Linked DNA regions of Oryctolagus cuniculus. The protein of the gene in region 1 binds, or shares a complex with, the protein of each later gene. Links are inferred from orthologs where the notes say so. Each region holds a gene or a part of one and is shown on either strand. Other genes may lie near its edges. The genes, in order: KIT and SOCS6.

Evidence for each region.
Region 2: the proteins of KIT (region 1) and SOCS6 are in contact, whole or in part, in a crystal structure (PDB 2VIF), measured with the Homo sapiens proteins. The link is inferred for Oryctolagus cuniculus from reciprocal best matches to the Homo sapiens genes KIT and SOCS6. Residues at the interface, in NP_000213.1 of Homo sapiens: Asn566, Asn567, Tyr568, Val569, Tyr570, Ile571, Asp572, Pro573, Thr574; in NP_004223.2 of Homo sapiens: Arg391, Glu395, Arg409, Asp410, Ser411, Ser412, Asp413, Ser419, Phe422, Thr428, Leu429, His430, Thr431, Arg432, Phe442, Tyr443, Glu444, Gln445, Val448, His460, Asp464, Ala469, Phe470, Cys471, Tyr472, Ser473, Arg474, Ser475, Arg476, Thr482.

Annotation. Positions count from the first base shown.
Region 1 is NC_091439.1:109,593,131-109,596,929, reverse strand, and holds part of KIT (mast/stem cell growth factor receptor Kit), read left to right. Parts: intron 1-92; coding exon 93-199; intron 200-441; coding exon 442-568; intron 569-687; coding exon of another isoform or gene 688-696; intron 697-697; coding exon of another isoform or gene 698-742; coding exon 743-847; intron 848-923; coding exon 924-1,034; intron 1,035-2,206; coding exon 2,207-2,357; intron 2,358-3,799. UniProt on the Homo sapiens protein: Tyrosine-protein kinase that acts as a cell-surface receptor for the cytokine KITLG/SCF and plays an essential role in the regulation of cell survival and proliferation, hematopoiesis, stem cell maintenance, gametogenesis, mast cell development, migration and function, and in melanogenesis.
Region 2 is NC_091441.1:8,447,890-8,451,788, reverse strand, and holds the start of SOCS6 (suppressor of cytokine signaling 6), read left to right. Parts: upstream 1-1,441; 5' UTR 1,442-1,656; intron 1,657-2,544; 5' UTR 2,545-2,733; intron 2,734-3,899. UniProt on the Homo sapiens protein: SOCS family proteins form part of a classical negative feedback system that regulates cytokine signal transduction.

The DNA.
Region 1 (3,799 bases):
CCCGGCTGTCGGGCAGGCGGTGGCTGTCCAGGACCCCGTCCGGGGCCAGGGTGTGACCCCCCACCCCCACCCCCATTTCTCTCGCACCCCAGAGCAGATCCAGGCGCACACCCTGTTCACACCTCTGCTGGTGGGGTTCGTGGTGACGGCCGGCGTCATGTGCATCATTGTCATGGTCCTCACCTACAAGTACCTGCAGGTGAGTGCCCGCCTGTCCGTGCCCGGGGCGGGGTGGAGCGGGGCGTGGCGGGGGCGTGGCGTGGCGGGGCGGGGCATGATGTGGCGGCGGGGCGGGGTGGGGCGCGGCGTGGTGGGGGTGGGGTGGGGTGGAGCGGGGCGCGGGGGCGTGGCGTGGCGGGGCGTGGCGTGGCGGCAGCGGGGGGGGGGGGGGGGGGGCGCGGCAGCGGCCAGCCGCTCACCTACGGGCCCGGGTCCCCGCAGAAGCCCATGTACGAGGTGCAGTGGAAGGTGGTGGAGGAGATCAATGGCAACAGCTACGTGTACATCGACCCGACGCAGCTTCCCTACGACCACAAGTGGGAGTTTCCCAGGAGTCGGCTGAGCTTTGGTCAGTGGGCGCCGGGGGGCTTTCCGCGCCAGCCGTCCGCGTGCACCTGACGGCGACTTTAGGGAACTCGGGTGGCTGCTGTGGCTGGCGCAGCGGTGCCACGTCCATGTGCAGCCCTGCCCGCCACCGCCCCCACCACTGACCCTGTCCCCATCCGTCCTGTTCCTCTCGCAGGGAAGACCCTGGGCGCCGGCGCCTTCGGGAAGGTGGTGGAGGCCACGGCCTACGGGCTGATCAAGTCGGACGCGGCCATGACCGTCGCCGTGAAGATGCTGAAACGTAAGTCCCCGCGTGTGCTGGGCTCCGGGGGCCGCCAGCCGTGGGCCTGGCCGCAAGCAGGCGTTTTTCGTTCCAGCGAGCGCCCACCTGACGGAGCGGGAAGCCCTCATGTCCGAGCTCAAGGTGCTGAGCTACCTGGGGAATCACATGAACATCGTGAACCTCCTGGGAGCCTGCACCGTGGGAGGTAAAGCCGCGCCGTGCGCCCGCCCGCCTCGCCCCGCAGCAGGAGGGTCAGGCGGCCCGCATAGAGGCTGCTCGCGGCGTGTTCCTGCTCCGCGCCGGCCGAGGCTGCCCTGGGGCGTGTAGCCCAGGACCCAGGGCAGTCACCCCGCTCCAAGAAGGGTGTGGGAAGGACAGCCGGACGATGAGGTCATTTTGGTGCTAAAGAAATTTCTTTTTAAGATTGATTTATGTGAAAGAGAAAGAGAGAGATGTTCCGTCTGCTGGTTCACTCCCCAGATGGCCACCACGGCCTGGGCTGGGCCAGGCCGGAGCCAGGCGCTTCAGCCGGGTCTCCCACATGGGTGCAGGGGCCCAGGCACTCGGGCCACCATCCGCTGTCTTGCCAGGCCATAGCAGGGAGCTGGATGGGAAACAGGGCAGCCGGGACTCCAGTCGGGGATGCCAGTGCCACGCGGCCCCGGCACGAACATCTGGACTGTGTCCTGGTGAGCCGAGGGAAGGCTCTGGGAGGCCTGGAGCCTTGCCCGTTGCTGGGCCGTGTTTGGTCATCGGGGCTAATATTGCTGTGGACACCCACATTTTGAACGGGCCCCGCGCTCCCTGCTCTCCCAGTTCTCCGATGCCGAGTCACTTCTGCAGAGTCAGCAGCCCCGTGGAGGGTCCCATCCAGGCAGTCTGCAGCAGGCCCTGGGGTCTAGCTGCCCCCACAGGTGTGGAGAAGCCTGCAGTGACGTCCACCCAGGCCCTGCAGGTGTCAGGAGTCGTGGGTGAGCTGCATCCGCCCACACTAGTTAGCTGCCTGCCACGAGAGGACCACAGCTGGAGGCGTTCGGGGCACCCAGTGCTCTGCCAGCGGCGGTGGTCAGCGTGTGGCTCGCTCCAGGTGGCCAGTCCCGCTCTGCCCTGCCGGCTGCCCCATGAGGGCAGGAGCCTCCCTGTACACGTACATCCGGGGACCCTGGGCCCCAAGCGCTGAGCTCGCCTGGGCAGGGGAAAGAGGGCCTTGCCTGTTGGGCTTTGCCCCCCCCCCCCAGCTGCTATGATTGTGCAGGGACCACCGCCGCCCCCGCCCGGAGCTGGCCGTGGCTGCCGTGACGTGCCGCGGGTGCCGGCGGAGGCGGGGTCACCCGGGGCGCAGCCCACTCTCCCTCAGCCCCTGTCCTGTGCTTGCAGGGCCCACCCTGGTCATTACAGAGTACTGCTGCTACGGGGACCTCCTGAACTTCCTGCGGAGAAAGCGGGATTCGTTCATCTGCTCCAAGCAGGAGGACCACGGGGAAGCTGCCCTCTACAAGAACCTCCTGCAGTCCAAGGAGCCGTCCTGGTAAGGCCGCCTTGCAGCCTCGCAGCTGTGGACGGGCGCTTAGCGGTCGCAATCAAGGCTGATTCTTGAGAAAACACGCTGAGGCACCCGGAGGTGCCAAATCGAAATTATTAGATTATTTAACCGTGGTGACCGGTTCAGACAGTTCAAATGGTTCGAAAGATGCAAAGCACGGTCACCTTAAGAGTTCGGCTCTTTTTTTTTTAAATACATCTCTCCTTTTTTCCTGAACTTTGCTCCGTGAGCCTGTGTGGGTTCTAGGCCTGGTTCTCCTAGCACAGTTCCTGTGTGCATTTGCCCTGACGCCCCCGAGCCTACAGGGGGCGCTGCTCCCAGGGGACCGTGCTAAAGCCTGGGCCTGCAACAGAGCAGCACGGAGCGCTGAGCCTCTCTCTCCACGTCCACTTCCCGGCGTCCCCCCCCCCCCCCCACGTCCACTTCCCGGCATCGCCCTCAAGCCAGCCCTGTGTACTTGGCCCCCACCTGGAGCTTGCCACGCGGTAAAAAGGCGGAGCTGCCCCAGCGCCTTGGAAAGCTGCACCTGCCTCTCGCACCCTGGATAGCATGAGTCCCAGTGACGTGTGAAGGGCTCTGGGTTTCCTTAAGGAGAAACGGTTGGGTCGACAGCAGAATGCGATGGCCCCCGTAGACACTGCTGACAGGCCACTCCCTCCTGAAGCCGTTTTCCGTAGCTTTGGCTCAAGTCCAGAGCCCCAGGTGGTTGGTTGGTTTTTCTGTTTGTTTGTTTGTTTTGGTGTTGGTTTGTTTTATCCTTGCAGACTCGGGTGGTTTAACAAGGCAGCGAGACACTGCCCAGGCCCCCTAGTACCGGTTTCCGCCGAGTCTGTGCCCTGGCGTGGCAGCACCGAGCCCCTTTGCCCTCTTTCTGAAACCCCCGCCTGGCGTTGCTGCGGGCACCCCAGCCAAGGCCCGTGGGAGGCGGATTGGAAAGGGTGGCTTCCTTTGATGCCAGGAGTGTTTTCACGTCCACGCACGGGAGGGGTCCTGACGAAGTCCGTGCGTGGGCGTGGAACCCGTCACTTGCCCCGTCTCCCCCGACCCCTGGGACGCGCCCGCCTGCCCTCCCGCTCCCCGGGCTGCTGGCCTGCGTGGTGCGCTGCGCGCTGCGCCATCCCATCTGGGGCTGGAAGCCTGGCGCTCCGAGGGAGCCTGTTGTCATGGTGTCCCTATGCTAATGAGAAGCGGGAAGCACTAGGAATCTTGAAGAGTCTCCAGCCAAATGTTGCCGATTCGAGAGGGCCAGATGGTTCAGAAAACCGCCCAGATTATTGGCGTTCGTCTGAACCGCGCTGGGTTTCTCCCACAGACGCCGTGTGTTCGCGCCCTCTGCCTCCCCCCGGAACAGGCCTTGGAAGCTCTTGTTCTTTGTGTGTCGCTCGTCATGGGGGACAGCGTCTTTGTGCCCTGTTTCCCGTGGACAC
Region 2 (3,899 bases), on another chromosome or scaffold:
GTCAAAGCTATGATGCCGGTCCAGCTCTGCCAGACTCAGAAGCCCAAAATGTTGACCATGCATTCAGAAGTCTGAGGAGTGAGTTCAGCCCCGTGCTGAGGAGCCAAGCTATGACTGCACAATCTTGTTTATTGTCTTTTTGAGAGCAAACAAGGAAACACTGGCATCACAACATGATGAGATTGAAAAGTTTGCTTCTTTCATTTATTTTTACAAATTATGTATTTATATTTCCAAGGCAGCCTGGCTCATTCTTCAGATGCCTGCAGCAGACTGGGGCTGGGCCAAAGCTGGGAGCCTAGAACTCAATCCAGGTCTCCCCCTGGGTGTTAGGAACCCAAGTGCTTCAGCTGTCACTGCTGCCTCCCAGGGTCTGCGTTGGTTTCTCTTCTAGTGACTGTGCCCCATCACCACTAACTTCTCTGACAGTTCTGTTTGAATCTGCATTTTGCCATGACTAGACGTTGCAATTAAATCAGGCTAACAATGATAGCTTATTAATTATTCACGGAAAAAATGAAGACGATGGCCATTAATCAGGTTAATAACACACCAGAAATGACATCAGCTTTGTGTATGCCATTCAGTTACAGAAAACGACCCAATCACTGGAGAAAATTTCCTGTTGTTAATCCCGATTTTGTGTTGACTCAGTGTTTAAGTTAGTGTTGCATATCAAACACTTTTAGAAGTTAAACTCAATGATTTGAACTTTTTATAAATGCACAGCTTTAGGGGGGATGTAATTCTGGTACAAGTTCACACCTTAACAACTTTGAAGACTTTGTTTTCCTAGCCTTATTTCTTTATACCTTCAATTTTTCTTTTAAAAAGCTTCACACTATTGAAGAACCAACTCTGACAAGTGCACCTTCTTAAGCTAGATCTCAGTAATACCCTCTCTCCCACACCCACCTTCTGAAGGTACTGACAATTGTTTCTAATCCCATTTTCTTGTAGATTCTCACGCACAAAAAGCACATAGCACCATTCTGCACTCACGGGGGTGGGGGGGGGCGTGAACACCCGACCTTACTTCACACCACCCGGGAGTCCGGGCACAGAGGACCCTCAGTCCCTGTAGGCCCACTCGCGAAAGCGGACGGCTCGAAATATTACTTTGTAAAGCAGTTTCCCTGACTGAGCCACGGGAGGTGCGGGACGAGCGGCTCCACTTGTGGCTGCGCGGGGCGCGTGCACGGCTGTCCTCGCTCGCCCCCTCAGGCCGGCGGCCCAGGCCCGCTTCCGCGCGGCGTTCGCCGGGGCCACGCACGGGGCTGCGGGGCGCACGCGGACACGGCCCGTGCGGGGCGCCCAGCGGGCCGCCCCCGCCGCCAGCCCGCTCGCGGCCGCGCGCCCCGCCCACCCCGCGGCCGCGCGCCCCGCCCACCCCGCGGCCGCCCCGCCCACCCCGCGGCCGCCCCGCCCCGCGAGCCCGGAGGCCCCGCCTGCGCCGCGGGCCCGAGTCGTGGGCGCGGGGCGGCCCGTCTGCTCCTCCGCACCCGCTCCGCGTCCGGGCCGAGGCGCTGCGGCGCGCGCCGCTCCAGCAGCAGCAGCAGGAGGAGGAAGCCGGCGGGAGGAGGAGTTGCCGGAGCAGGGGACGAGCGAGCAGTCTCGCCGGCGCTGGGCGAGGAAGCGGAGCCGGGCCGCCGCCGGGTGAGAGTCTGCGGAGCCCCGGGAGGTGGGGGAAGGCAGGGTCGGGGGCTCCCTCCCGCAGCCCCGGACTCCGGCCGCGGGGTCCGTCTGCTCCCTGGGGCGCGGGGGGCGGATCCGACGCGGCGCTGCGCCGGGGAGGCCGCCGGGCGCGGGGCTGCAGAGAGGGGCCGGGTCGGCGGGCCCGCGGGCGAGGCCGGGAGGCGGCGGTCGGGGCGCAGGGCCGAGGCCTGCGCGGCCGCCGGGCTGCGCCTCCCGACCCACCCCTGGGCCTCGGCGCGCCGGGCCCCGGCCGCCGCCTTTGTTGCCCGCAACTCGCCGGGAAGAGGCCCGGGGCCCGGCGAGGCCTGCGCGGCGGCGGCGGCGGCGGCCGGGGCCTAGGCGACTCGGCGGCCCCGCCTCGGTCCCCGCGCGGGCCACCCCTGCCGGGCTCGGGGCTCGGCGGCGCGGGGAGGCCGCCCGCGCGGGGGCGCGCCCGGGGCGGCGACCCGGGAACCGCGGCCCGCGCCCGCAGGGCTCGGCCGGGGCCGCGGAGGGCACCGGGCCGTGTTGGGAGTGGCGGCCGGTGCCTGCGGGCCGTGAGTGGCCGGCTGCGGGCAGCGGCACGGGCCTGCCCCGCGAGTTGGCAACTTCGGGTGCTCGGGCACTGCGGAGGGAGCCCCGCCGTGGACGCCCCCGGGCGCGGGGCCTGGCGCCCAAACTTGGGACGCGTGCGGTCATTGTGCGCCGTGGGAGGTGAGACCCGCGCTCTGGGGAAGGAAGGGCCCGGGGTGCGCCGCAGAGCCCGGCGGCCGCGCCGGGTCGGTGCTGCCGGCTGCCCCGGTTCGCCGCGCTGCGTGGCATAACGATGCTGTTGCATGAAGAACCTCCGTCAACTTGTGTTTGCTGCAGGGTGAGCTGGCTGACATGCTCGCGGCACTTCGTCTGGACTTCTCCCACGTCGCCCACAGCTCCCGCAACGTGAACTCCTGGAATCCACTTGCTTGAATGAATGGATCTTACACGGACTGTTTAGTGCAGTGCAGAGTCCGTGCCGCTTAAACGCGCGAATGGCGTTGTTGACTACAAAACTCCAGAAAAGTAGGCTTGTGGTCCTTCCCTGGGCTTTCTGGTTTCTCCTCAGGCCTGCATGGGAGGGTTCCGGGTCCTGGCCTGCTATAAACAAAATGGGCCGCCTTAATTAACCCTTTGGTTCCAGCACCTTCTCTCATCTGTCTGCGTGCGTCGCCTTGGAGGATGCTGGCACCTGGACAGGCGGTTCCATGAGGAGTCTTGCTGTTGGCAAGTGCCTTCCTCTTTGTGGCCTGGGACCCACCAGGCAGGTCACGCACCTGAGCCTGCTCCTCTTGTAGGACTCTCTGCTTTCTCTTTTTGCCTGTATTACCTTTCTGAATACCCTCTCAATTGGTAGGACACCTCTCAATTGAATACCCTCTCAATTGGTAGCAAGTGTCCTCCTGCTCCCGTTTTGTTGTGGGAGACAGGTAGGCCTTGGACACTGCCTCCCACCCAGGGGCGCACCCTCAGGCTGCCACCTGACCCTCCTCTCTTGGCAGGCCACCGGCAGGGAGTGGCAGGGAAGGGATTTGGGTGCCAATGCTGGGCGGAAGAGCTCTGCTGCCCTGACTGGATTCCGCGTGGCGTCATTTCGCTTAGCCTCAGCCTGTGTCTGCGGTCGCGCTTCAGAACTGAAAGGGTGTTCTTTCTGTTGGAACAGCAGGCACCTGTGTCTTCATAGGACTGCCTCGTGTAATCCACTCCTCAGAGAAGACCCTACTCGGTATCCGCTGTGACTAGTCTTAAGGGAACTTGGTGATGGCATCTTTTGTTTTGCTGGTAGAGGTAGTCTTGTGTAAAAGTCATAATGCTCATATTCTCTGAGAAAGGGAGAAAAGTTATATCCATTTCTGAATTTGAAGCAATTACTGTTCTCTCTCATACAAATAGGGAATCCTGGGAAACGGGATGACATACACATACTTCTGTTGAGAGAGTGAGGTCAGATACCCTGACTTATTTATAATACATAGGCTGGCTAGTGGATGTGCACGTGTCTTTCTGTTACTTAGGAAAGGTGGGCTTCGGAGATCACCTTCTGCTGTTTTCTTTATTTTTTTTTGCATCCTTTAAAGGAAGAGCAGTGGATTTTAGTTCTCTGCCCTCATCCCTGGCCTCTTCCAGTTCTAGAAGTGGCACTTAGATCTGTGATGCCCTTTAGAAAGGGCAGATTTCTAATACTAGTATGT